Lepisosteus oculatus: one gene and its partners. The protein of the gene in region 3 purifies or fractionates together with the protein of the main gene of each other region. This does not show direct contact. Links are inferred from orthologs where the notes say so. Each region holds a gene or a part of one and is shown on either strand. Other genes may lie near its edges.

What was found.
Region 1: the proteins of serine/threonine-protein phosphatase 2A 55 kDa regulatory subunit B beta isoform (region 3) and sertad4 purify together in Homo sapiens (co-immunoprecipitation; 3 studies listed by BioGRID and IntAct, with this or other methods). This does not show direct contact. The link is inferred for Lepisosteus oculatus from reciprocal best matches to the Homo sapiens genes PPP2R2B and SERTAD4.
Region 2: the proteins of serine/threonine-protein phosphatase 2A 55 kDa regulatory subunit B beta isoform (region 3) and ier5 purify together in Homo sapiens (affinity purification with mass spectrometry; 4 studies listed by BioGRID and IntAct, with this or other methods). This does not show direct contact. The link is inferred for Lepisosteus oculatus from reciprocal best matches to the Homo sapiens genes PPP2R2B and IER5.
Region 4: the proteins of serine/threonine-protein phosphatase 2A 55 kDa regulatory subunit B beta isoform (region 3) and microtubule cross-linking factor 1 purify together in Homo sapiens (affinity purification with mass spectrometry; 4 studies listed by BioGRID and IntAct, with this or other methods). This does not show direct contact. The link is inferred for Lepisosteus oculatus from reciprocal best matches to the Homo sapiens genes PPP2R2B and MTCL1.

What each region holds. Positions count from the first base shown.
Region 1 is NC_090697.1:26,749,071-26,756,131, reverse strand, and holds the start of sertad4 (SERTA domain-containing protein 4), read right to left. Parts: upstream 3,023-7,061; 5' UTR 2,318-3,022; intron 1-2,317.
Region 2 is NC_090704.1:30,252,435-30,259,094, reverse strand, and holds ier5 (immediate early response gene 5 protein), read left to right. Parts: upstream 1-4,090; 5' UTR 4,091-4,485; coding exon 4,486-5,427; 3' UTR 5,428-6,149; downstream 6,150-6,660. UniProt on the Homo sapiens protein: Plays a role as a transcription factor. Mediates positive transcriptional regulation of several chaperone genes during the heat shock response in a HSF1-dependent manner. Mediates negative transcriptional regulation of CDC25B expression.
Region 3 is NC_090706.1:27,877,838-27,885,433, reverse strand, and holds the start of serine/threonine-protein phosphatase 2A 55 kDa regulatory subunit B beta isoform, read right to left. Parts: upstream 3,016-7,596; 5' UTR 2,717-3,015; coding exon 2,707-2,716; intron 2,612-2,706; coding exon 2,531-2,611; intron 1-2,530. UniProt on the Homo sapiens protein: The B regulatory subunit might modulate substrate selectivity and catalytic activity, and might also direct the localization of the catalytic enzyme to a particular subcellular compartment.
Region 4 is NC_090701.1:56,252,478-56,260,285, forward strand, and holds the start of microtubule cross-linking factor 1, read left to right. Parts: upstream 1-4,794; 5' UTR 4,795-5,439; coding exon 5,440-6,369; intron 6,370-7,808. UniProt on the Homo sapiens protein: Microtubule-associated factor involved in the late phase of epithelial polarization and microtubule dynamics regulation.

The DNA of each region.
Region 1 (7,061 bases), on a different chromosome or scaffold from region 3:
GATGTTTTTGGCAGAGATTACTGAAATCTGGTTCCAACCTCAATACCAGTCCATGGGGCTTGTGTGTCTGTTTTTTTTTCATAAAAGGAAAAAAAAGGAAGAAATGTGAGTGGAGAGAAAGCCTTTCTGCTCATGAAAGGCAGCCAGTGTTTAAACAAGGTCAGTTCCTTCAGTTGTCTTTGCTCAGACATGCAAGACAGCCTAATTTAGACAATATTTAAAAGCAACCTGCTGGGTGTGTCTCCTCTTTTTCCCTCTCACGAGAACTCCACACCCATCCATTTTCCTAAAAATGCGTGAATCTCCGATGTTCGTTATTATTTTTACAGATTTTTCAAGAGTTGAAAAGCCTGCCATTTGAGAGATGCCAAAGACACCCTGCTTGGACAGTGGACAGTGGAATATACCAGTCCAATGCTTCCTTTTTAATTTGGATGGGTTACTTTTCCACACAGAGCACTTTCGCAAAGCACTTTGAGTAACAATATTATTTACACTTCCTGGGGGTGGTATTATTCAAGTCAAAGCAGTAGAATAAAAGGACAGATTTGGGTACATCTGTGTATATTTAAATTTCCGCCCTTTTCCAAACCTGTGCTTAAAATCTTACAATATGGTTATAGTGACATGTAACAGGGCATGTAGTAGATGCTACATTTCTTTCATGTCTTGTATTAATGAGTCATAAACCAGGAAGAAAGGTTAAACTGTTTTTAGGCTCTTAAGCTCTGTGCTGGGAGGGATACTACTCTACAAACTCTGCACCCTAGTGTTCCTCAAAACCCCAGCTGAATATCACAGGGCTATTACAAAAAAAAAAAATCGGAAATTCTGGAGTATGCCAAGGCTGAGACTCGTGAATCTTTTAATTTTGAAGTCTTGAAGTCTTTAATTTTTAATTTTGGACTAAAATCTTTCAGCGCTACAAAAAAAAAAAAAAAAAAATACGACCGTGAGGACACAACAACAATAAAAGAAATCTGCAGATCTGTGCAATTGCATACAGATACACAAACGCATGTCTATGTGTACGCTGTATGTGCATTATTTGTACACAAGTGTTAACACATTTGTAAATTTTAGAAACACAAGACGCGAAATTTAATTGTGGCCATAAATCTGTTAGGAACATATATTGTTGGACAAACCGAGAAAATCGAGCCATAAAAATAATTCGACCTCGCTCTCCTTATTCCCTATGGTGCGGCTCTTGTTCCATCATTAGTGTCCAGTGTTGGAGATACGGCTGTTTTGGACACACTCCATTACACTGTGTCCGGATCTAGGCTGTGTTCTGCCCTACAATGTTAGGAAGCCCCAGCTGTGCTCCGGTAGTGTTTTTCTCCCCGCTGAGATCGGCAGCTGGCCACATCTGGAAGAGAGCGCGGCTGTGGTGCAGCAGCGCAGCGTGTGGGGTTCCGTCTCCAAGAAGCAGCGTCTGTCTCTGACCTGCGGACTGGCATTTAAAGATCTACCTACTTGCGTGAAAGTCTGTTAATCCGAACTTGCTCTCGGTTTATCAATGCTTTCAATAGTTGATCCGAATGAAAAATTAGCTGAGTTTTGACCTTTGAAAAACTCCATATGTGTATGTCTCTCTTGGGGTTCTGTTTAGTAATCCGTGAAGGTTGTCAAACGAAAGACACCGACAATCTTAACGATACAATGCGTTGTATGTTTGAACATAACTATGTTTTTTTTAATAATGGAAGGTAAAATGAAAATCTTAAATTTCACATGCTATTATTATTATAGTATATAGTAAAAGTAGGAATAGCGTGCCAGTGGAAAAGGGGAAAATGATATGGGATGATATTACAGTATATACAGAAACAAAGTCACAGACTGATAGTCGCTAAAGAGAATATAATGCTCTATCTTCTAAAATTGGCATTTAAGACGTAAACCACAAAAAATAATTGGCCATGGATTACTTGTCAGCAAGAAGCTTTGCGCCGTAAATAATTACTACGATGTCGATTTGTAACATTAAACGTGTACGTTTCATGAATGGACCATTGACCTTTTTGTCTTGAGCATTTAACCCTCGCATTGAAAGAATCAATTATTACATATACAAATATATCAGAAAGAACAGAGCAGTTTGATTTTATTCCTTTTGAACTCATCTCCATTTTGACCGACATGCATATATCCAAAACCGTCCCTGTGACAAAATCATTTCGGAACTATGACATTCCACAGTGCAAATGTCCCTCTTTAGTGTCACCACCTCCCTCGCCTGTTCCGCCTCATACAGCTAAAGCACTGTTGTTCATTCAGGTGACCGCCTTTGCGCACGAAATTACACACCTACCTTTAATTGAGTTTTCCTTTCCTTGAAGTTGGTGCTGAGTGCAATTTTATGACAGTTTTCTTTTGTGACGAGCAGCTCTTATCCTCCGTCACCGGGAGCGGTAGTTTCATCACAAGTGTCAAAATCCTTCTTTATCTGCAACACCACTTGCAATTCTAATGTTGAAAACAGGTTGAATAAAGGCGGTGATATTCTTTCCTCGCCTCCTTAATTTATTCTTTTGAATCCCCGTCCTTCCGTTCTCTCAGGTAAGAGCAATTACAACAAACCTCCCTTGAGCGCCGCTCGACCAGTCAGCAACATCAACGGCACTTTCAATAACCACGTCAGTGTTTTAAACAAAGCCGTGAAAGTTGGACGGTGCATCGCCTATCTCCAGACTGCGTGCTTTCCCTTGAATACAAATGACTCCGCTCGAAATCCAACTGTCACCACAAAGGTGTGTTTCTTCGATTGGAAGGGGGCGACTTGAAAACGTCTGGAGGAAACTCGCACATCGCCCCATCCCTCTTTATCCCAGTGCAGTACTTTCTCTAATCGTCACGGCTCTCTCTTAGAGGTAGTCCTTCTGCTGGACTTGAATTCAGACGAAAGGGATTACAACGTGTGACCGACAGGGAGAAGAGGGGAGGGAGGCAGCGAGCCCAGGCATCTGTTATGTATTTCCCCTTTGATCCAGCGTCGACTCGTATTTTCCAGCATCTCCTGAACGCATTTTGTTCTGTGCTTTCTATTCAGAGGAGCCTGGAGAGGTTATGCCAGTGAGAGCAGCCTGATTAAACGGTATATATATGTATTCTTTTTTTTTCTTTCTGACTACAATTTTAATCATCAAAACCGGAGATTGATACTCGAGCCAAAAGCCCTTTATTTTTCTTAATCACTGCATGTGAAATCCCACGGTTATTTTCCTTTTTTTTTAGAAGCAAAAGGAAGATCGACGTTTGAAAGACCTCGGCTTCCACAGAGTTTACGGAGTTAGCTAACCATAACGGATAGATAGATATCTTGAGTAGATAGAATTAACAACTAGGTAAAATGTATCTCCGGTCTCTGAAGATCTCGGCGACCAGCGCTAACCGAGAATAAAGACAGATAAGAGGAGTTCTTTGAACTTCGACTGGAAAGCAGTGCAAAAAGACTGCAAATGTTATGTTTTATCCGTGTGACAGGGGCCACACACAAAAGACAGAAAATATAAATCTTGAGGTCGTGAAGGTTTTCTTATCCACTGTAAAATCACACATGGAAGAAAGTGCAGGGTTTATTTCAACGGAGAATTAAACGAATTTTTACCGCCTCTTTCATAACACTAGTGTTGTACAAACCTAGTAATGGAAACTGTGGTTTAAGAACTCAGTAGACCATTTTCCTAATTCAGGCCTGAACTCTCAGCATCTTTATCAAGGTGGGGCATATAGAGAAAGAGAGATCACTTTATTAACCATATACAATTTCTTGCATTAGGAATTCATACAGTATGTGTGCATATCACAGCTTGCTCTCCATGAGAGACAGACAGGGAGAGAAGCTTGGGGTCAGAGCACAGGGTCAGCTATTGTATAGCACCCCTGGAGCAGCTGGGCCTTGCTCAGGGGCCCAACAGAGTAGGATTCCTCTGCCAGCCACAGGACTTGAACCAGCAACCTTCTAGCCACAGGCACAGACCCTTACCCACAGTGCCAATTGTTCAGCTACAGAAAAAAGCAACAGAGGTACACTGTCCATCCTTGTCAACCGTTCGAGGTCTATCGCTTTTCTAACATTATCCAGTCCAGTCTTTAAAAACAAAAACAGTTACCATGTATAGTCAGGTCCCTTGGGTCCCACACACCCATCACTCTGTTCTACATTCATCTTTCATTTTGGAGAACTGGTACCAGGCTGTCAGATAAGATCACTTTATTAGCCATATACAATTTCTTGTATTAGGAATTTGTCTTTTCACATACTATATCCCAACTTGCTCTCCATGAGACACACAGACAGGGAGAGAGAAGCTTGGGGTCAGAGTGCAGCCATTTATACGGTGCCCCTGGAGCAGTTGGGGTTAAGGGCCTTGCTCAGGGGCCCAACGGAGTAGGATTCCTCTGCCAGGTGCAGGATACAAACCGGCAGCCTTCCAGCCACAGCCGCAGATCCCAAGCCACGGATATGCCACACCACCCCTTTGAGATTTGAAATGTGCCAGTTTTCACCCAAGAGTTTTATTGTTTTCCCAGGCTTGTCCTTTTTGTAAGATCTTTCAGACATTTTAATCCCACTTAATCCAACAGGCCCTTTGAGCACCAGGATAAAAACTGGCTCATCTTCAAAGCATCAGTGCCTTGTTTGCTTACAGTCATCCAGTTTGTACACACTGTCTTGAAAAGGTGTTGGACCCAAAGCCCTGGAGGACAGTTGTCTTTACCTTGAAGCCTTTCTTTTGTACTTATCAATCAGGGGAAAGTGTACTGTAGCTTCGGATTTGAGCTCCCGCTGCAGACACTGCTGTTGTACCTTGAGTGAGCTCCGGTCCACCCAGCTAAGAAACTGGGGACCAGCACTGCTGGGGATATGAGTGCTGGCCTGGTTAGCTGCTGTGGCTTGATATGAAAATTGCTCAACTAAGGAAATCTTTGCCATTTTCAGTGACACACACATTTACCTGCATTCAGGAAACATGTGTGAGCAAGTAAGTTTGGCATGGTCCATTTAGTGTGAAGAGTCAAAGCTATTTTAAGAAAACACATCAATGATTTTACATTACATTTATTTAATCTGAAAAAAAAAACTTTAGGTAGAACAATAATCGAGAACGGACATCGTGTATTACTGTTTTCTTTCCACTTTTTTGCACAAAAGGTTGTGGGGTTATGGATTGAGTTGTTGTTCATATTATCTAAGCCAAAATTGTCACTTCTTTCAAGTGGATCAGATCCAGTTAGCTTCCAAAGACTCGACAGGCCTCCTCTCGTTTGTAAACATTTTGTTTTGGGGGGGGGTGGTTTTCATTCGATGAGCTGGCAAATTCAGCGAAAGTTACCCGCGGACCCAGCCCAGGGTGTAGTTTTGGCGCCATCTGTTGATAAATAGAAAGTAGTACAAGAGGAGCAGCGTGAGACGCGTGATCTGGGAGCGGAAATTTGACTTTTTTTCTGTCTTTGAAGTCATTTGTCTTGCAAATGCTAAACTTTGTAAACCTGGAAATATTTAATGATACTCCAGCCACGGCTGTTCTCCTAGTCACCACGACGATAGCTGGGGAAAACAAGGGAGAGAGTGTTTTTTTTTATTTCCCTAAATATTGAAAGAAGAGTTTTTGTTTTTATCAAGAAGATCAGAATAATGATAAATTCAGTTCTATCACCATTATGGTGTCCCAGAGGTGCAATCAATTCTGCATTGATGAAGAAAATAATGAATTCAGTAGTTTATTGATAGTCATGCACGGATTTCTGGTGCCAATTATGTTAGATATGTTAGCATAAAAGTCACATTCTTGCTTTTTGTACGAGCTTTGTCTCTGTGACTGACAACTCAAAGCCGGGAATGATTATTAGTCCTCATGAATTCAGCCTTGTTAATTGGAGGTCCCTGTTATTCTTCAAAGAACCCCGCGGGTAAAAAACCTTGCTAGTTCAAATGCAGCCTCTGATAGCCCGTGTCTTTGGTTTGTCTGCTTTTGAGGATTTGTGGGGCATACCTGTTTGTAGTTATAATAAAAAAGGTTAAATCAAATTAGCTTTCTTTAGGCGCACTAGTTCCTGAGCTTCTCTAAGTGAGGCAGCAGCCTTCTCACCTTGTTGCATGCTCTCTTCAGACCTCAGAAGAGGTCTGACCAGCAGAGCTGGTGAGCCTGTAGGGGGCGCTCTTCTGCTCTTCCTAATCTTGAATTTGCAAATCCACGTCTCAGTGTGGTGAGTGGAGATAGGGTGCTGTAGGAGGACTTTTGGATGAGTAAATTAACCAAGGACCTGACCTCCCAGTTCTTTGTATGTCGCAGTTCATAAGAGTAGATGTGTTACCCCTCCTATTATGGTATACTTCCGCTCCGGGCTTGTACAATCTGGCCTCCCTAAAGTTCCAATCTTTATTCACCTGGTGAAGGTGTCTCTCACTCCTCCCCTGATCTGCTGTGTGGAGGGGCTGCTGGTGCAGACTGGAAGGAGGTGGGAGTAAGGGCCTTGCAGAAGGGCCAAACGGAGTAGGATTCCGCTGCTGGCTAAATGATTTGAACTGGCAACCTTCTAGCCACAGGCACAGATCTGTAGCCACAGTGCTACCACATCACCTAGGTAAGCTCTACACTTACAGTAAGTGCTATGTTCGATGTATATGTAAAATGCTTACATACGTAAAGTGCTCTTTCATGTACTGTAATGTGCTTTGAGATTCATTGAGAAAAAAAGAGAAATATAAATGCAAGGAAGTATTGCTGTTAAAATTATTAATTAATGAGACATACACAACCGACTCCCCTTACTATACATTTTGTAAATGTCCCCTTTTGCTCAAGTGTAGCCTGTCAGCTTTTGGAGTGCATCTTCTTTAAGGGGGACAAATAATTTCACTAAAACAGCTCCATCTCACCGTGGAAGTGATAGGAAAGCTGGAGATCTCAAGAAATGACCCAGATCAGGGTTTAGATTTTGTAACAAGAGCTGTAGCTTCTTTTTGTGCCTCAGCTGCTGTCTCTAGACTCTTTCCCAGTGCCATTCTCTCAGCCTGCAGAAATGAAGAATTCACAAGTGTGTGCAGTGCA
Region 2 (6,660 bases), on a different chromosome or scaffold from region 3:
GCCTGAGCATCTCAAGGCTTAAAAACAAATCCCTTTCACTGATACACAGTATATATTAATAGATGGGATCCTGTTTTTAAAATGATCTGAATTTGCAGTAAAAACCTGGGAGACTGACTGCTCTCCCCTTCATTACATTAAAGCTGTAAATGCATGCTGGGCCACAATCAAAGCACCGCAGAGATGCAAGAGCAGGAAGTCTTCTTCATTAGTTACTTGCCATTAATTATTTAAACAGCTGCCACTGAGCGCTTGAAAGTAACAGGAGCAGTACCCTGTGAAGCCTGTAGACTTGTGACACATGGTTGTAGAGTAGGGTGGCGTGGTGACGCAGCAGTTAACATTTCTGCCTCACAGTGCTGGGACCCTCCGGGTTCAATTCTGGACCTGGGGTGCTATCCGTGTGGAGTTTGTATGTTCTCCCCGAGTTTCCTCCAAGAGGTCCGGTTTCCCCCCACAGCCCCAAACCATGCCGGCAGGTTATTTGGCTTCGGGAGAACTGTGAGTTGTGTGAGTGTGCCCTGTGATGTACTGGCTTCCCTTCCGGAGTGTGCCTCTGCTCGCACCTGTTGCTTGCTGCCAGGACAGGCTCCAACTCCCCCGGGACCAGGAATTGGAAGGAACGGTGCGAACAAAAATGGGTGGATGGGTTATGGAGTGAAGATGGATACTCTGTTCAATTTCTGCCCTAACATATTGAACACCAGAGTGTTCTAAAGAGCGTGTGAGCCCAGCCGATATCATTAGCCAATTATAGTTAGGAATTTGTCCAGATCACGAAGCACACAACCGAAGAATCTCAGATGACATATTTCCACTGTACTGTACAGACTGTACAGTGCTAATAAGCAACAGCTTTCTTTCTTTGGACTCCTGAGTATTACAGAGACTTTTTTCAAGACCCATTTACACTGAAAAACCCTGGTGAGAAATAGAGACATTGAAATGTGAGGGCCCTCTCATTTTGCACATTTCAGATCCCTACCTAAACCTAACAAAATGTAGTCTGAACAGCTCGAGGAATTTGTAATAAAACCTTAAAAAGCACAAAATAGGAATGACTGAAATGATAGAATAGGACCTCCTAATCATGAAATCATAAAAAACGAAGAGGATTTTTTTCCTCCATTTTACATACTACTCCACACTATACCTATACTTTGTGGGCAAGCAGGCTTGGGCTCAGCATGTACAGACATGCCCTAGAACTGTGCATATACAGTCATATTGTCCAGCATCTGGAAGCTATGTACACATCCTGTGCGAGTGCTTAAAATAATCATACTTATTATATCGCATGAAGAAATCCATCAAGGCATAAAATATAGAAAAGCAAACTGTCTCCTGTCTCTACTTAAGATTCCTTGTCCAGAGTGCAGACCTGCTTTGTACCCTGTTTTTTTTAGACAGTCTTTGGACGCCTGTGACTCTCACCAGGAATAAGCGGCTTTCTAAGAATGGGTGGATAATGTTTTTATGATGAACAAAATATTTTACCATTACTGTCAACTAATTGTTTCTGAATATTTTCATGAGTAAGACTAACTGAGGAATAAAGGTCAAACATTTTGACAGAAGCCACTTTCACATTGGACATATTGACAATGAGAGGAATCATTTATTCATGTTTGTTACCAAATATTTTTAATATTCGCCATTTGTGTTGCCTAATTCCTGCAATGTAGTAATCACCTTATGTTGGTTACTAGGCCTTTGAATGCATGATTCCAAATTGTCCTTGTCTGAAGATTATTCAGAATCATCAGGCTGATTCTTCTTTTTTTTTGTTAAAAGAGCTTTTCGGGGAAGAAACCAATATTTTGTTTCCAAGAATGTGTCACAGAGATGAAAGTGACCTTCATCTGGGGTGCATCAGTTTCATTTAAACTACTTCTGGGTAATTTACACAAACACAATGCAGAACTGATCTTTGACGTTCAGTCCTGGCAGTCCGTTTCATTCTTACATGGAATGCAATTCATAAGGTTTTCATTAAGTTCGGATCTCTACATGCTCATTTGGGCGTATCATGCAAAAACTTGGTTTCAACTCCGAAGGGGGAAAAAAAGACTATAATAAATGTGAACTTTAAGAAGGCGAGCGTAATGCTTTTCACGTGATTTTTGTGTATGCCATCAAGAAAATGAACACATTCACTGTTCTTCCCCTAAAACACATACCAGGATACAATGTCATAGCACGATAATTAACCATTAATATATCCCCGTTCTTATACAAGATGTTAAGTAAAAATAGATTTTCCTAAAAATATACTGTACCACAGCCCTCCAAAACAAAGGGAACAAAATACATTATCCTGCTCATAACTTTTAAAACAATATTCTATTCTACGCTTAGCCCAAGCGTTTATATCAAAGGCGCTTTCCTGAAAACAGCAGGAAACACTGTTAACACGTTAAAGTAAAGTAACACCCTTAAGAAAGGGCGGAGGTGTTCCTAGATCTCTACGTGACAAACCCACAAATGACCTTTTGTTGTGCAAATTAACGTTTAGTGTTCCTTATACATCTGGCGTGTTGTTACAGTGAGCGTCTTAGCGCGTAAAACGGTACTGTCCACACGCACAAAAATCAAAATAAACCGCAACGACGCTTCTTCTGTACGCCGCCGGGTTGCCAGTCCTCGTCTTACAGGGTCTCCAGTGTGAGGTCCTGGGCAAGAAGGCCGCTCCCGGGCAGGCTGAGGGGTCACGGATGAACAGGAGCCGACAACGGGGACACCGGTGCCTGCTGTCCATACGGCCGGGTGCACATTCCGCAATACCGGGGCCCTTCGCACTCCAGGAGCGCTCTCAAGCGAAAACGAGCCGCCGCGCTTTGAAACTACCTGCTGTCATTTCACTAGATTAAAAACAACAACAACAAAGCGATTTCCTGAGTCAGAAGTGGAAAATTGCTTCCTGCTCTTTGTCTGAGTGTGCCTCTGGTGGTGGTGTTCCTACGTCACCTCTCGCCCCTCCCGATGTGTTTTTATTTTGCCGACAGCTTCCAGGCCTATTCCGATCGCCTCCCGTCCCCCCCCTCCCCGCAAGTACGCGACCGGTGAGGCCCAGAGCGAAGCCCTCATCTGTCAGGTCTGATGGCCTCGCAGTCGTTCTGCGACTCTGGAAAGTGGTCCCAGACCTGTTTCATCACACACACACCCCCTCCCCCAGAAATGTTAGATTTCAGTCCAGCCCATCCCCCCGCATTACAGCTCTCTGTGTCAAAACACCCCTCCCCCCCGCCCGCCGCACACGCTAGCTGCTCCATTCACTCCGCCGGCCAGACAGCACGGTCCGGGGCTCGCTTGCACAGAGCGTCATGTGACTCCCCTGAAACAGACGAGGCATTACATCAGCCCAGGCAAACCGCCACCAAAATAAAATACTCTTAAACGGGCGACGCCACGGAGTGTGGAGAGTACCGATACTTCCTAGGCTTTGGAAGGAATTTATTTTTTTCTCAACAAAAACAAAAACGTCATACGTTAAGACACACAACCACATGGACTGTCCGTCTCTTAACGTCTTAACACGTTATTAGAATTCGATTCATCTCCGCTCTGTGTCTTATTTTTCACCAGTTTTACATGACCACCTTTTTAGCCAGGACAACCGTCCGTGAGCACGCTTCTGCAGCCGGCTGGCTGTCGGTTTGCGGCGAATTCATGTTAAACTGTGAGGCCAAGTGAGTTCTCCAGTGCCGCAGGGTGCTGTACTTATTCGTTTATCAGTTTCTGCATTTTCCTTGCACACGGCCATTGTGAAACAGGCCCGCAGTGATGCCCTGCCTCTTCACTCTGCAGGTGGGCTGTGAAGACAGTCTGACTGACCCTCCCCCAGTGCGGTGGTGTGTATTTATGAATGTGGTTCTCTCGTCAGGCGAGACGCTTTCGCGCCGGCTGGGTTCAGGAGTTGCCCTTTTAAGAGAATCTCCCTCGTTAGTATTTAAATCTGCGGAGCCTCCACCCCGCTCGCCTATTGGTCGAGGCGGACTTGGCGGTGCGTAATTTCTCAACGTTTGTAAATGAAGATCCGCGCTGTGATTGGCTGTCGTAAGCGTCACGCCGGGGTATATAATCGCGTTAAAAATAGAAGTCCAGTTATTTCCTTAGAAGCGCGCAGGAGAGAGGGGTGGTCTGTAGTATTTAAAAAAATTGTATTTATTGTGGTTGTATACAGAGCAAAGATCATCCCTCCTATTTATAAACTGTAAAAAAAAAAACTAATTAGATTTGTTTTAAATCATAGTTAAAAAGCTCCCGAAAACAAGAGTGCCAACATACCTAGTTGCGGCTATATAAACTTTTCCGTAGCTGGTATTAAGTTACACCGGTTTTAAAAGTTTCGTGTTTTACGAGCCTCTTGGGTTTTGTTTTGAACTGAGAGCTCAGGCGGTGATCCAGAGCAGCCCGGACCAGGACCGCCGCAGGAGGGGTCGCCTTTGTTGCGCCGCGCAGTTGACTGGTTGACGATCAGAGACCATGGAGTACAAGGTCGAGGCGCACCGGATCATGAGCATCTCCTTGGGCAAGATCTACAACTCCCGGGTGCAGAGAGGCGGAATCAAGCTGCACAAAAACCTGCTGGTGTCCTTGGTCCTCCGGAGCGCCCGGCAGGTCTATCTCAGTGAGTACTACCAGGGTGTCTGCCTTAACGCCCAGCACATGGACACGGCGCCGCAGTGGGGAGAGGGGGCGATCGTGGACTCTACCCAGGACAAAGCCGGCTCCGATCCGGCGGGGAGCGCACAGGGATCCCCGGACAGCGGCTCTACGCTCCCGCCCGAGAGCTCCCACCCACTGCCCGCTGCAACTGCCCTGGAAAGCCCCGCCGCTGGCCGGCAACCCGAAACCGCAGAGCCTGGCGAGCAGAGCGCCCCCAGCGCGCCCTCCTCACCCGCCTGCTGCTGCCGCCCGACCGGGGAGCCGCTGGGGGAGCCTGTCCCGGCGCCGGCGGACTTGCCGTGTGCCCCAGTCGCGCCATTCCCTGCCCGCAGCCACGGCGCTGAAACGCCGCCCTACAAGGAAGCGACACCCCCCGAAGAAGGCGCGGGCGGCTGCGGGGAAGCAGAAGTCAAGGGTGGCGAGAGTGAGTCATCCGAAACCAGATTAAATCACTCGGCGGCCGCTTCCTGCTGTAGGAAGAGAAGTGCCGAGAAGGCGCCCCACGCCGAGTCCCCCGTCAAAAAAACCAAGCAGACCTCCCCCAGCGAAGAGGCCGAGCGAGAGGAAGAAATGGACACTAGCAACGTTTCCAGTTTAATCACCATCTTCGGCTCCAGCTTCTCGGGGCTGCTGAGCAAAGACAGCGCGCCGCAGGCGGAGCCCCCCGCCGGGGACAGCGACTCCGCCTCGGGGCAGATCTGCTGCGAGCAGATGCTCAAGAACATGAACCCCTGGAGCACGGCGATCGTGGCGTTTTAATGCCACGGAGGGTCACCTGGCCGGTGTGGAAATGTGTTGAGGGATCTGTCGTGAAGCTGTGACCAGGCGGGCGCGCCATCGCCTCCCCCCTGCCCGAGAGGCTGGGCCCCCTCTCTGTGCCCGACCACGTGGAGAGCGGCGTGGGGCTTTCCCGAGCCGCGCGGAGATGTTTCCACTCGCGTTATGTTGGGGCATGCCTGAATCGGGCTGTAGACTGTGAACTGGTGCTGGTCCTGACGCAGGGATTAATAAAGTGGACGCGATCTCGAGTGGAAGGGGTCGTTTAATTGGATCGGGATGTACGTTTTAGCTGGAAAAGTGTGTTCAGAGATTTCCTCGCCCCTTTGGTAACTTTGCACTTTTATTTCGATTAACTGTTTTACAACCCTTGAAACGATCCCGGAATTAAACGCTGTCGTTCATTGCGGAAGTCCCGGTTCAAGGAATTAAAAACCTCAAAGAATAGTATGTGGCGAGCTGTTACTATTTCACATGTATTACTTGATCAAAGAATCGGTGCTAAACTCATTTGTAGCCACATGTTTTAAAGGCGAGGTCCTAGGGATGTTGAAAGTCTTTGTTTTATAAAGACCTGTATATATTTGTATGTTTTTTTTGTACAGACCATTCTTTTCTTCCTGAATCTGTATTTTGGTATTTGCGCTTCATTATGGATTTTATTTGCGTGTTACACACGTATTAAAACCTTTTTGAACATGAAATCCCTGCTTTCTGCCTCTTCTCTCCAGTGCACTAAAGCTGAAGTGATCTGTAGTGGCCGTTACGTGGCTGCGAGTCTGGAATGTATTTGGGGGGGCGGGGGGGTGCTGAATGCATCTGTCTTTATTCTGTGGGGGCAAAGGTCATGGCGCCTCGGGGCTCTTAAGCTGAAAGGCTGCTCTGCTCGGGGATTAGAAAGCGTCCGGTCTCGCCGCTCACAACCTTGGCGTGAAAGCCACGTATCCTCCATTTGACTACCCATCTTTTATTCTTGTTTACGTCTTGAACTTCCGTATTTACTGTGAGAACGGAGTAAGGAGCAAGGTCCTGTTGTGTAAACTCCCTCTGTGTTGCAATATTCGTCGTTTTCTCTTGGCTATACGGGTTCTCCGTGCAAAATCGCTTAAGGGAAAAACAAACCGTAATGTGAAATTGAACCTTGGGTGTCGTACGCATTTGACCTGAGCAATAGTGAAAGTATTTACACCTCTGCCTTTTTTGATAAAATTGGAC
Region 3 (7,596 bases):
AGCTATTTTCCCTAAAGCTCTTCATTTACAACAAGGATGCGCTACAACGCGTAGCTCACAGTGCCCGTCCTACAACCTATGTACACAGAATGCGTCACGCTTTCTAAATAATATCGTTATAATTATATAATACAGTTATATTTCCGCTAGCGTTTGAATAAGCTACATACAGAGGTCATCCATTTTAGTAAGAGAAGACACGGGAGTCAAGGTAGACTAAAATCTGCAGTAAATTAGTAAGTATCAATAAGCGGAAAAGCTGTACAGCGTATGACCGGAGGAATCCCAATGTGGTGAACTTTGATAATTAACGTTCAAGCCGTCCTAGAATTGGGAAGGGTGCTTTTCTGCCGAGGGCGGGAGGCAAACCGCAGCCTCTTTGGCACAGGGTTTAGGGTGAGGCTGAAAAGCTTTCTCCCAAAGCGGGGTGCAAGCCCGCAAGAGAAGCGAGAACAGGCTAGTCTAAGCGTAGACGGCATCCCACGCAAACACGGGGAGAACATGCGAGCTCCACGCAGTTCTGAGCCTCGAATCGACCGTCGGATCCCGCTAGTACAACAGCCAGCATCGCGCTATCCGCCTCGGCGCCTTTGTGTAAAATATGCAAATACCTGTTTTGGAACAGGCCTAAATACGACATGATTTCCGCTGCAGAAGACAATTATTTGTTTTGTTAATGTGCCGAGGTATCCATATTTTAAGCTTGCCGGTAAACCGTGCATTTTACAATTGAAACCACAGCTTGGAGACAGGGAAGTGGTATTTACCTCACGCCCACTCCACCGGCACACGGAAGCGCGCCTCCCCCGTGCGCGCTCTCGCAGCAGTTATCTCGGCTTTACACGGCTTTTTAGGAAGCCCGAAAACTATCAATGAATATTTATGAAATAGAGGTTTCTATATATAGACGGATAGACAGATATGTTTGGAAAGGTGAAAAGGGGGGTTATTCGAAACAGGAGAGGGGACGTTTTGTCGTTACAATAGCCTTTGGCATTTGTTGTATTATTTTTGCGGAGTCCCCCGCAAGAGGAGGACTGCGGTGTTCTTCCTGTTCTTCCATGAGCTGATCTTTCAGCCCCCAGAGACTCTGGGCTTATCACAGCTGGGGCTCCGCCGCCGACAGCACCTCGCCCGGATACACACCGATCTCTCTCTGCACGGCACCTTTCAAACCTCACACGGCTTCGGCAGCGACCGGCAGACAAACTGCGCGCCGCGGCTCTTATCGACATGACACATCCGTTTATGTGGTATTTCAGTCAAGATCGGAAATGTTCCTTAACCCTTAGACTCCTGGATTGATGGCCCATCAAAACCTCGAAATAAAATCATGATATAACAGATACACCCCCGTTAGGACATTCGAATTAAAAACCTTCCGCCACGACAACCGATTCTCGTCTCCCACTTGATGCCCTGATAACCAAGTGATTATTGGGCAAAACAAACCTAGCGTCTCATACCGTCCTAGAAATTCGATACGTTTGACAGAAACAGCTATTTCGAGCTACGGGGTTACCGTGTTCCTGACTCTAATAATAAATCGATGTATATAAGCGGCCCCCCTTACATTACAATACTGAAATCAAAAGGCGTTCTCGCCCAAATGTGAGCTTGCTCAGACTGAAAGTGGGCAAGGACCGGTTTCCGACGATCGGTGCTCAGTTACAGGCAAAGGCACTCAATGAGGATCCGCAACATGTTCGTCAAAACCGGAATCGTTCAGGTTTCCATAGAAACGTCTCGGCGTTCAATGTTATAAAGTACAGTACAACTGTAAGTCATATTATTCTAAAATTTACTCCCCCTCTCTGTCAAAGACACCCGCGACAAGCCTTGATACACCGAAGTATGGTCTCCAAATGTACTGAAAGCATAAGGAAATCATGTCCCCAGCTTAAACCGTGGTTGTTGAAGGGCAGTACAAAACAGATAACAGTTATTTTTCCTCCATGCAGGTACCATCTCAGCGTTTTTGTATGTCAGAGCAGGTTATGTAATGCCTTCAACTCCACGAAGAAATTATAAAGAACGCCTTTTCCCACTCAAGTTACCTGACCTGTAGGGAGATACTGCTTCCACAGACACACGTACACGGACTTGTGCTACGCTGCAACATACTTTTATTCATTCTCCCACGCCTCCAAACCACCATGTTTAAAAACAGAGTGCTGATAAAAACAAATATGTGCATCATATTCCATGCTTGATAGCACTCAGAGGAATATAACTTTACAGGACAAAACAAAAAAAAAAGGTGGGAGGGATGAAATAAACAACACAATCCAATATACTTATGAGCTCGACCGGGCTTACAACACCTGCTGTAAAGGCGTGTGAAGAAAAAAAAAACAACTTCCGAAACACGCCGTTTAGAATGAACTCATTTGATAAAGACAAGTTATTTTTTTAAATCAACATAAACACTTCGTAGGACTACTTCGAGCGTCAAACAATTAAATACAGAGAATGTTTTTTTTATAAAAACCTAGTAAAACAACAATTGCGTAGCCAGGTGACTTCTTACCTTCTGTGACATTGACCTCCACGTCACCTTTCACCTGTGCGAAACACCATCTGGTGTCTTCCGCGCTGCCTCCACCGAACCCTGGACAGAACCGAACCAAGGTGCACAATTATTTCTCCCCCAGAATTAGCTAATGCTGTATTTGCCTTCAGTGCGGATTTTTTTAGATGACATACCGGGAATCATGATTCCTGAGGCAGGCGGTTGATACTGAAGACTTTGTCGTCCGTCTTAACCGAGCTCTCCCGAAACCCCTGCTGCCGTTTGTTACCGAATTAGCGTGCAGATGGAGGGGAGTGGACGATTGCAAATATGTGGTGATGTTCTGCCTGTCTCAACTATTTAAATGCCGTTTCAAAATGGCGAAAAAAAAATCTGGTTCAAGTCTGCCCACCTTCTCGTCCCTGACTGATTCAGTCGTGAGAGCACGTTAAGAATCAGATTTCTCTGTACCATAATCTGACTGAGATTCACAGTCTCAATGATTATTTTGAAGTATTTGTGAAAAAAAATCTTAAATTTTCCTCTGTAAAACGTAATATTTCTTAACTTGATTTATTAAGTAACTACTATTGTACAACCTGTAGCCTACTTATTACAAATTATACTAGAACAATATTACTGCACGGACCTATATAGTTTATTGTATACTATTGTATTATATTTTGCTGCTGTAGCGCTGACCTATATTATATTTTTATATATAGAAAAGTTTGAATTTTAAGACGGCTGCGAAGTTCATGTTTTAGCAAACCTGCCTGGACTGACGTAGTCTAAACACTCGGCTAATTTCCTATAAATTATATTTCGAGTAAAATTAAATATTTCTAAATCCAAAAAGTTGTGAATGTTGAAAGCATAAATCAAACGCTGTTAGCACAGTATCAATAGTTAACCGAGTACAACAGAGGCTGAATGCCCCGAACGGTTTTTCAAAAAAACATCTTAAACCATAAGTCAGGTCTGGAGGTTGAAGAAGAAGAAATCAATCGCATAATGTTAAGTTAGAGCAAAAATGTTTATTGCAAAACAGTCATTTATCGTTGTCGAACGATCCTATGTGGTTGCTATAATATTGAATTAAATGGTTGGTAGGGAGCGAAGTTACATACACTCAACTAAAATGTATAAGTTATACTTTTATATTAGTACATTTTATATCGACATTTTAATAAATAACAACAGAAACAAAACAGAACTCTGCCAGCCCCGTTGGCCAGTGCAGTAGTGGGTAGGGCTGGGAGGGCGCTGGTCCCGGGTTCGAGGCGTAGGTAGGGCACGTGCTGCGCTTTTACTTGAGCAAAGTGAGCACTCTCCGGGTCAGCACTGTAAACGACTGATTTTTCTCTACCTAAAAGCATTTCTAGAGGGACACAGGATTAAAAATAACTACAGCTCGTGTCTCCAAAGCTAGACGAAACTTTCATTTCCAGTTGAACACGGTAGAGGGAGCTCTTTAACAGCGAAGCCAATACATTTGAAGGCGATTGCGCGTCGATCTGTTTATGGGGGTGTTATGTTTTAACATTATCTTTGTAGCCAATATAAAATGGAAATCAGCTGCGTTATACGTAAAGCATCACACAATGATGTTCGAATGGGGTGATCTATCCATTGCCACCTTTCTGATTTCATTCCAACCTTAATTTAAATGGCAAGACTAACATAATTTTCAAATATTTCCTGAAGTCTTCGCAAGAACATATCGCGTTTCTTGGCACTCATTAGCGGTTAACAAAGAGAGCTGTTTGACCCCGGGACTGTGAAACTAGCAAGGCTTGCATCTGGTGTAGGAGCTAGCCGTGTGATCCAGCTTGCTCTTCAAGGGATCTCTGCATAAATCTAACCTTTCGAAACTTGAGGGTTGATCCAGTGGTGTGGGCAGGATGAAGTCACCTACACACCCCAAGTTTTACGGTGTTTCCTAACAGAACAGCAAAAAGCTAGGCCATTGCTGGCCTGCGGGCAAAGAGGGTGTATGTGGGGGAGGAACATTAAGTTCAGTTCTATTCTGTCTGTTGAAATCGTCCGGCAGCTTGAAATCCACTGAGCAACGACCTGCACAGCAACAGAATGACACATACTAACACCGCCAGTCCTTTTTATACGGTCTGCAATTTCTCCAAGACGCCTTTTGTGCTTCCCCACGGACTGAAGACCAAAGAAAAACAACACTTGCATTTCAGACGCAGCCCCTGTACTTTTCCAACTCAGAAAGGCGCGAAGGGAAGTGTGAGTCCCAGCGGTGTCGTTTAGAAACCCCAAGCTCCAGAACTGAGGTCCATGGGCTGGTCGGTAAACCTCAACCCTTGGAATTCAGTTCTCAAAGCCGAGAATTCCGCAGCGGTCCCGGCGCTCCTCGCCCGAACCGGACCCCCCCTAGTTCTCCGCGCGAACTGATCACGAGGCTAGAAAGGGCCGCGCTTCCTTCCCGGCAGGTCGAGACGGGACTGGCCGGCTTTACCTGGAAAGTGAAGGCGGGGGCGTGACGGGCCAAGAACATACTGTTCCTTGTGGGGGAAAAAATACCGAAGTAAATTTCCGTGTTAGTTTCAAAGGACTTTTCTTCCAGCGCTTACAGTACATTTGATCGAGTTGATAATGTCTAAACAATGGTTTACTCCACTTCCCACAAGCTAAAGCACACACACAGAGACAGAGCACACACGCGTACAATTAAAAGCACACAATTCTTAACGGGAAGAAGCAGAGTCCTTGGTCTTATTCTGCATGCTATTTCTGACTCCCCCTTACCATTTCATAATCCTGAGCTCACAAGCAGCTGTTCCATGCTTTCCCACCTCTTCTCATGGGCGATGTCCAGCTGTACAAAACGCATACACGTTCCGCAGAGCAGTGTGATCATAGCATCAAGCTTGTGACAAGAGGCAGGAGTGAACTGGGGTTAAAGGCGCCCTGCTGAAGAATGACTCAGGGCACAGGAGCCACATCAGCACAGACTGTCTCCTGGAGTCAATGCATTATGTCTATCAGGGTCATATCCTCTTGACTCTTTAACAGAACTGAAATCAAAAGGCATTCAAATGTCTTTTCTGGTTGTTAAAGTTAAAAATATATTGGTCAACACCTTTTTAATTGTAACACCTATAATAGTAATAACATCCATCCATTTTCTAACTGCTTCATCCAATTCAGGGTCAAGGGGGAGCCAGAGCCTATCCCAGCAAGCAACAAGCAAAAGGCAGGATACACCCTGGACAGGACACCAGTCCAGCGCAGAGCACACGCAGACACAGACACACTCACAACAGGGCCAGTTTTACCTAGAAACCAATGAACCTACCAGCATGTCTTTGCACTTTGAGAGGAAACCAGAGCACATTGAGAAAGAACATGGAAACACAGGGAGAGCAGACAAACTCCACACCTATAGCACCCCAGGGACTGCAACGCTAACCACTGCACCCCCATCCTCCCCATAGCATTGATGAAATTCCGAACTTTAGAAGTAAACATCATATTTGCAACAAGAACATTTTTCCTTTGTAAAGTCATGAAGGAAAGAGAAAAGATTCTCTTCCAAAACATACCTTTTTGTATAGATTAGCAGCTGTCCCACGGATCGTACTTACAGCACTAGTGTGTGCACCATCTGTGTGTGTTATTTCTGAAAAGGTCTAAACAGAATTATTAAAGCTTTATACTGAGCATTATTGTTATTTGTAAGAGCTGTGTTCCAGGAATCATGTGAAAGATTTCATCACTCTTTGCTTTTCAGCTCTACACTGTAAATGCAGAGGCTTATCAGTTCACACTCTGGTGCAGCGCGTCATGGCTTGTAATATCACCTCATGTTTCTTGCGCAGAATTTGCATCCCAAGTTTTGCACAGTTTAACAAGTATTCTCAGAAACCAAGCTAAGCACAGTACCCTCCAATTCCATATCTTTCTACAATTGCACTGTACATTTTATTATTCTTTAGGATGTTCATCTTAAAACAGAGCAACACTTTAACTTGATACAAGAGAAACATTTTGCTTGCCTTGAATGAATAAGAATAGAATGTACTATGTTAAAAAAACCCACAAAGACGTTGTTCCACAACCACTATGAGTCAATAACATTTAAATCTCAAACATTTTATTAGGTTTTCAAAATTATTACCTGGGCTTCTTTCACCTCTCTATGGAATCTTCCAGTTTAACTTCATAATATCTTAAAGTAATTTTCATGTCGGTACCAATTTTGCTGCCACTGAAACCTTGCTGTTCTTAGCTCATCAGCCTCAATGAAGAAAGAGCCAACACTGGCATTCTTCCTGTCACTTTTATGGCTTGATATCTCAACTCAGCCAATCACATCGCAGGGCTACATACCTCATTTCCTTTTCCTGTCACATGTCGCCATCTCAGCCCACAGCCCCAGTCCTAATAGCCATGTTGAAAACATGGCAAGGCCTGCATTGTGTTACACGCATGGAACCGGGCAAACCTTGTAAAATCAAATTCAACTCCAGCTCTCTCTGAGCTCAAGAGTCACGCCGGAACTCAGCCGCCACTGGCTTAGAGACATTAACCTCAAGCGTAGTGAAGTAAGAACTGAGCCAAAGCATCCAGAACATTACAACAAAATGACAACCTGAGGACATATAATGCGATAATATTCTAAGAAACAACAGCATTTGGTGGTATCTTTCCCACATTTATACATTTCTGTTAGCTGACATGAAAATTAAGGGCTTCAGAAATGCAACCATACATGGAAAGACCAGTGCTACCGAGCTCAGCGTGTGCTGGTAAGATTATATTTTTTGATAGCAGTTTTCAACACTGTTTTTAAAAGAAGCAGGCTGTTGTAGCACATGGTGAATCAGTGATTTTTTTCACACCAACAATCTCCCGTCATCTGAAGCATTACTCATCTTCTTCTTTCAGGCCCACTCGTGGCAGGGCTGTGTTTTCCACTGTGAGTTCGTCACCAGCCACACACCCTCCTGCCAGAGCCTCCAAGTCCACAGAGCTGAACAGGCAGGACAGCCCAGGATGAACATTTGTCTACTCTGTCCCCTGTGAAAGGACAAAGGTTGAATGTGGATGTCAGGACG
Region 4 (7,808 bases), on a different chromosome or scaffold from region 3:
TAGAACTAAAAAATTATAATATATCAGCAGGATTTATATGAATACAGAACATTTCTAGTTTAAAAAAGCTTACCAATACATTTGCATCAGACCTGGGGCTATTCCTTCTGGGACTTTGAGATTTGTTCTGTCATTATATTATTCTTCATACGTCACACCATCAGTAAACAAATCGAAAGGTTCAAGCCAGTCATGTGCAGCCACTCTACCCCAACGTGAAAAATGTGAACAGGAAATAAATGCATTGTTACATTTTAAAATGTAAAGCATATACAATATTAAAGTACTTTGTATGTGAAAGAAAGAAGCTTTGAATTTACAGTGTGTAAGATTACATGTGTGTAGATTATGAAACTGTGTTGATGTAAACATGTACACACTACAGTGTACTGAATGTGATGCTCTGCTCTCCTTTGTGGAGTCTGGACTAACTGTAAAAAGTAAAACTCTGTACCGCACTTACAGATTAAGTGCTTTGGTATAACCTGTGTCACTTTGAAAACCCAGTTTTGTTCTGTGCATTTTGTTTAATGCAAATATTGTAAAGGTAAGCCTTTCACTGTTTCTCTTTATAAAGTTAACTTTTACAGAAGTGCATTTAAAGTATTCTTCTCATATTATAAATATAGCAAGTTTCAGACTGTAAATTGAGATACTAAACATTTTAAACCCGATATAAAGCAGGTTTTGTTGGCATGTTCTAAGATGTTTTTGAGGTATTTATAACTTGTGGCATTCTTTAACTAATGAAGTGCAAATAAAATTTTATATTTATTACTCAGCATTTAATGTTGGAACGTTTAATTTATTCTACGTGAAATGTACAAAATTAGATGTACAAGGGTCACCCAGTGTGTAATGCACCACATTTTATAAGGAACGAATTCTCACAGGACAATGCTGTCAGACTGAACTTTTCTGCTTTGTTGCTACTTTCTTGGTGATCCTCTTTTCAATTGAAATGTTAGTCTGAAATGCCGGTAAGTCGCCACCAGGTGGCACTCTAATTCTGGAATATAAGATGTGTCTCGGCTCCTCTTGCCCAGAGGATGGCAAATTTATGCCAGATTCCATGCCAAGGTTCGGTGCTCCTGCTAATCCTCAGTTATTGAAGTGATTTTCACTTTGCTTGAGTAAAATGAAAAAAAAAGTGGAATTAAAAGGATCAGTTCTGTACTGAATGTTTTGGAACAAGGGCCAAAGTCCTGTAATGGCTAGGAATCCAGGTGCCAGAGCAGAGAAGGCCCAATCGAGCCCACGGAGACGTTGTTTATGAACACAGCTCTGTTGATAAAGAGCCCGTACAAGCTTCAAGTGTCCACTAATAAGATCTCTTTATACTTCATTTACAGGAAAATGCAGTATTCATAGGTTTTTCCCTGCTTTTCAAACATGTAATTTTCTGTTTTTTTCTTAAGCGATGTGTGTGTGTGTGTGTAGGGGTGGCACAGTAGCGCACTGGTGAGCCCTCCTCCCTCACGGCTGCTGGGGCCCCGGGTTCGAGTCCAGACCTGGGGTGCTGTCTGTGTGGGGGTTTGTATGTTCTCTCCGTGTTTGTGTGTGTTTTCTCTGGGTGCTCCAGTTTGCTGCCATAGACCAAAGACATACTGGTAGGTTCACGGGCTTCTGGGTGAACTGGTCCGGGTGTGAGTGTGTGCGGATTTGTGTCAGTGTATCTGTCTGCCCTGCGGTGGACTGGTGTCCTGCCCCGGGTGTACCCTGCCTTGCGCCTGTTGCTTGCTGGGATAGGCTCTGGCTCCCCCAGGACCCTGAATTGTAACTGTTAGAAAATGGCTGGATATACTGAAGTTGTGAAAGACAGCATTTCACAGCTGGGGACTCGCTTTAACACTTGCCCATAGATATTGATTTGGACACTGTCCTGAAAAGCTTTCATGGTCAGATTCTAAGTTGAAAGCCTAGGGGAAAATCAAGGATTTTATCAGGTTTTCTCACATTTTTGCTGTTTCTAAATGGACGTCATAGAAGGTAATATTAGGATTGGGGTGTGGGGGGAGCACTATGATCAACTCGAAATGGTATATGTAGCTGGTCAAGTGGTGAATGGGCTAGTAACCACAATGAACCTGAGATTCATGGATAACAGATTTGGCAAACCTTTTCGTATACAACCGTTGTAGTCTGAAAATACAGGTATTATTTTAACAAATGATCTGCTGTCTCTTTAGTGGCCTGCATTATCTCTTGAGCCAGACCTCTTTAATGCACCTGGAAAAGCAATTGATCATCTCCAGCAACACCTGCGATATTAGACAGGCAGGGCACTATCTTGAGAATGAGTGCTGCCAGCTGTGCATTTCACAGTGGTCAATGTTTTCAATTGATCTGGTCAGAAATTCAATAAGTTGACTCCTTCCTGTTACTAGTTTTTGTTGCATCAGTTCCGTTTTACACAGTTTTGCTGTGTTAATGAACCAAATGGTTCATTTACGGTCTCATTTTAATATTTACGGAGGGGATCATACATTCGTTTGATTCCTAGCACCTTCCCTTTGCTGACTGAAAGTCCTGGCATGAAGATAACATGCCTTAGCTCAGTGTATTCAGCATCAGACTTTGCTACAGCTAGCAGCATGTATTGTGTGGTAATCAGTCTTTATTTGTATGTATGGTGTTAGTTCACATGCAAGCCTCAGTAATACATTTTACAGGGTGAACATAGTGATGCCAAAAAGAAACGCAAGATTTTCTTGAATACTATAGTTATAGTTAATGTACTTTCACAAAAAGTGATAAATTTGTTTTAAGCAGTACAGCTGGTGCAGTGGGGCATTGCAACCTGCCAATCACAGGAAAGCTCATTAGGTGCACTTTTACCCAACGAGGTGCAGGTGGAGCAATGCCTGATCAGGTCACCTTTAAAAAGGCCTCAATTCAAAGCTTAGGTCACTGCGAGAAGAAGCCCACACTTAGTCAGTTTTCTGTGCAGTCCATAATGCCTCAGATGGCACCAGAAGCAAGGGAGAGGGCCACTGGCATGCTGCAGGCAGGCCTGTCATGTGCCAGCGTTGCCAGACGCTATGGAGTGAGCCGCTCCACTGTGTCCCGACTGCAGAGAAGGCTTCAGCAGACCGGCAGGACAGATGACCGCCCAAGATCCGGTTGCCCTCGAGTGACCACACCAGAGCAGGACCGACACATCAGACTGGTCCATCTGAGAGATCGTTTCAGATCTGCCACCCGTACTGCGGCTGAACCTGCCAGCAGACACAATGCCCGCATCAGTGACCGGACAGTGAGGCTCCATGCTGCTGGCCTTAGAGCAAGGCGACCTGTCAGAGGCCCTCTGCTCACAGCTCCTAGACCTCACACCCAGCTGGCTTGGGCCAGACAGAGGCTGCGATGGACTCGTCAGCAGTGGCATCAGGTCCTCTTCACAGATGAGTCCCTCTTCAGCCTGTTCCACCCAGACGGGAGGGCCAGAGTGTGGAGGAGGAGGTGTTGCGTTTCTTTTTTCCATCAGTATGTATACAACAACCCTTAAAGTACTGCTTACACAATTTAGTAGACACTCTACAGTATAGAATTTAACAACACACTTAACTGAAGACAGAGTAGCAAGTGTGAAGCTGTAGGAGCAGTACGCTTGTAGGACATCAGTGCCTAATGGGGAAAACGTGATTGTAAAAATCATACAGCTGCTCACACTTGTGTAGCTGTCAGTAACATGAAATGGTCAGATATGTAGGCAGCTGCAAAATGTTCGTAAACGCACTGACTGAAAACAATCTCTTTTAGACAGCTGTTTGTGCCCTAAGGATGCCAAAGCTCTTTATGTGTGGTGCAGCCATGTGCCAGCAGCCCGACTAGAAATGGGAGAATCAAGGAGAAGTTCCAGGTAGGTCAGGCTGTTCAAGCCCAGAGGAATTTAACCAGGACGCTGGGCACCACACCCCAACTCTAATGAAATGTCACGGGACCTTGTCTGATGCCTGGTCTGAGTGATGGTACCCACTACTGTACACTGTACCTAATCACAATACTCGGGAATTTGTTTTGAAAGCTGTGGTCCAAAGGGAAGAGTTACCCCCAACACCTCTTACTTCAGCAGCCTGGTTTTCCTTATAAGTCCTCTTTGCCCAGTACTGACTGGACTCATCCATGCTTAGCTCCTGAGAGATGACAAGATCTGGCGGGCTACGGTCTGGTCATTCTGCTGCTTAAAAGGACCGCAAATGTAGGGTCTAATGGAAAAATTATTTTTTTTAAATAAGAGAAATATGTATGACGAACACCATCCATCCCCGTAAGTCTTAATTTTTTTCAATACTAATGTATAGTGTAAGGAATATTTAAAGCTTCTTTTGTATGTATCCTTATTTTCTGTTTGTAAATATAATGTGAGATGGAGCCCAATAAACAAGTTCCTTGTGACCTCCACACATCTTCGAGGGATACCATCTGTTAATGGCTTTATACCGTGCTTGTGTTCCAGGGATGTAGTGCTTTTTTATACACGAATGCCTACACATATAAGGTGTCAAATCTGAGGTGTCCTGCGTGACTTAAAAAAACAAATCCACGCAACAGTTTAGATTTTATATTGATATTGCAAAGTTAACAACAGTGGGTGTAAAGGCTAGATTGGGCGGTGCCTTTATTATTCCTGTAAGTCTAGGTTAATGCCTTTTTTCCCCCCAGTTCCTGAATAAGAAATTCTCAATCCATGCGGAAACAAAGTGGACAAAGCCTCAGACTCCGTTCTGAAGCTTACGGGCTAAGGCTTTTAGTGCATTAGCGCTTTAATGCCACCCGCAGACACAGCTGCCAGAGAGCGGTCGTGAGTAAGGACGCAGACAGCTCTATGGACTTCCCATTCATTGCCCGTAAGACAAATCTCCTCGGACTTAAAAATAAGAGAGAGGGCGGGGGGGTGAGAATTGATGGTGAAAAAAGCAGGCGCATGCGCTCGCCGGAAAGGCACAAGCGTCAGAGACGGACCGCAGCAGCGCTTGCAGATCTTGCATGTCAGACCGGAGCGGAGAGGGGTGGACGGCTGAGGAAACTGTCCGAGGGGTGGGGGGGACGAGGTAACAGAATGGGGGTTCGGGGGGATCGCTGTCTTGCATCACGGCTGCACATGAATTAAACCCGGACAGAAGACAAACCCGTGGCCCGGCAGGTGGGGGTGACTCGCGTCATTTCGATTGGAAATTCAGGGTTGTTTTTTTTTTTATCCTTGCTGCATTTTCTTTAAACTGGTTCAAGGAGAGTAAAGGGAGGATGAAGAAAGGGGGTGCTTGTACTCGACAGAGGTAATCCATCGCGGGGATGTGAACGCCTGACAAGGTGCGCACCAATCCGAAGTGATGAAATCGGAAAAACAGGACGGTATTGCCGAAGTGATCTGCAAGGGTTATTTGTGTGGGCAGAGGACGGGTCGTTTCTTTCATCACCATTCCTTACACGCGTCTGCGGATGATGGAGAGTTTAAATGGCACCAATAACGAGAGCAAGCCGCAAAACCACCAGTTAGTGGAGAAGAAAAGACTGAACAGAGCGCCTTCCCCTGCGAGACCATTCCTGAAGGATATACACTCCCGGTCGTCTGCCAAACCCCCGGCCATCCCTCCCAAATCTCCCAACCTCTCGAGCAAGCAGCAGCAGCAGCAGCAGCAATCAACAGGGCTCCTGGCATCTCAAAACCGCCTGTCCAGGCGCAGCATCTCCGGCGCCAAAGACAAACCGGCTCCGGCAAAGAGTGCCGCCAAGACCGCGGTACCCAAAAAGGCAGCTAAGACCATCCAACACGGGACGACAGAGCCGAAACTCGCCGGCCACAGCTCCGGTAAAGGGAAAAAAGAGAAAAGATGCGCCGTGGCGGAGGCTCCCCGGGGTTCACCTGGCCAGAGCTCTTCGGTCGGCGCCCCAGGAGGAGCCGGGCTGGGGAGGAGCAGCCATACGGACAGCAGCTCGGACCTGTCCGACTGCCCCTCGGAGCCCCTGTCGGATGAGCAGAGGCTCACCCAGGCGGGCAGCAGCGATGCGGAGTCCGGCTCCGGCTCCGGCTCCGGGTCCAGCGACCGCGACCCAGGGTCTGGCGATCACCAGCCTGTCGGGGCGGCCGCCGCCGCGACCTACGGGAGGGCTCACAGCCTCCCCCAGCTCGGGGAGCCCCCGGCCTCGGTGTCCCAGATACCCGCTAAAGAGAGGGTGTCCTACCCGCTACCTGCTCCAGGACAGTGCGGCGACACGGAACCGCCGGGAAGGAGCCCCGGCAAACTGGACTTTAGACCGGGCCACCCGAACACCCCCACAGAATTCATGCTGCGGGGCAGCAAGGGGTTGATAGAAGAGGACCTGCTGAGGGAGGTCGAGGACCTGCGTTCCGAAAATGACTATCTCAAGGTAAATGCGAATGCGTTGGAATGGATCCCTTCAGCACCGCGTTTGTGTGTCACTGTTTTTAACACACCTGCTCACTGAGGAAGGCATTCGTCGACACTAACCGTTCGCCAAAAAAAATAAATAAATAGCGGTACCACAACTGACGCATGTGCCAAACACGAGACATAGTGTAAACCTGTACATGAATAAGTTCTGTGGTCCGTGTAAGCGCGTATAATAATATAGGCCTTATCGTCTTTACGCGTTAAAACTGGGCAGCAATCAAGTTCTTTACATGTTCTTTTTTGTTTCCTTTTTTTTGTCAGCCTGGATAGTTACGCATTATTGTAACTAGGGGTGACTAAGAAGATGCTGTTTTGCGTTTTCCTCTGCGAGCACTACAGCACTGTTATTACAGTATATTAGCACACTGTGTACTGGATGTGTGGTTGGTGTTCAGAAAAAGCCAAGGCTATGCAATGCGTTGCGCTGCAGCGAGAGTGCAATTACTAGGCTCTGCTTAGGGACATCTGCTTTTCTATTGGTTTTAACCCTTTTGGCGCATAACACAGAATTGTTGCTTTCTTTTTCCGTCTCAAGAGCGCAGTGAAGCCTACACCAAACTCAGTTCAATTCACTTTACTCTTCGTGTTGTCTTTCCCCCCCAATGGCAGCCTGTAATAACTGAATTCCCTAATTACTTGAGCACTGATTGTTACTAGTTTGTCATTATTGTTGCCATCACAGTATCCCAGTTCGTTTTGTTCACTTACAGTATTTACGGACCTTTAAATACTCGTAACACCTCGAAACTCTAAATAGACTCGCATGCGCTTCGCTGCTTTCCGTAATTGGTCTGGAAAGCGACTACATACAGTACACAGATGTTAATACTATTTCGATCATATGTATAGAACCGAGGCGATAATCCAACCTTGTAGCCTTTTACATTAGCGAGTGACTCCAGAGATTTAAAATTGATATTTTTGCCACCACACCGCGATCGCATTTTATGTACGCCCCGGCACTGCAAGAAAACACGTTTTTTTATGCAGCTAGTGAACAGCTATGGGCGTATAGCGTCTCACAAGCATCTTGTAAGATATTTCATGCGGACATCACAGGTGACACCAAAAGCGTGCTGAAATGCTGGCTCCTCTGTAGAGACGAAAAGAAACGTCGCTCGGAGACGTTGAGGTGGCGAATCAAGCTATGGTGTATTGTATATATATATTTTAGTAGCTACATTTAGCCGGAATTATAGAGATATATAGCTCTCAAATGACTTTTTCAAACGCTTACATTTTTAACCAGAATCTGTATAAACCGTTTATTGTACCAGAAGGCTACTCTGTATTTAGTTAAAAATGCTGCAGGCTAGCTTCCCTTCCACATGACCAAATACAAATGAACCAGCTCCGACATGAAGCTGTGTAGCGCGTATGTCGTATGTTATTGTC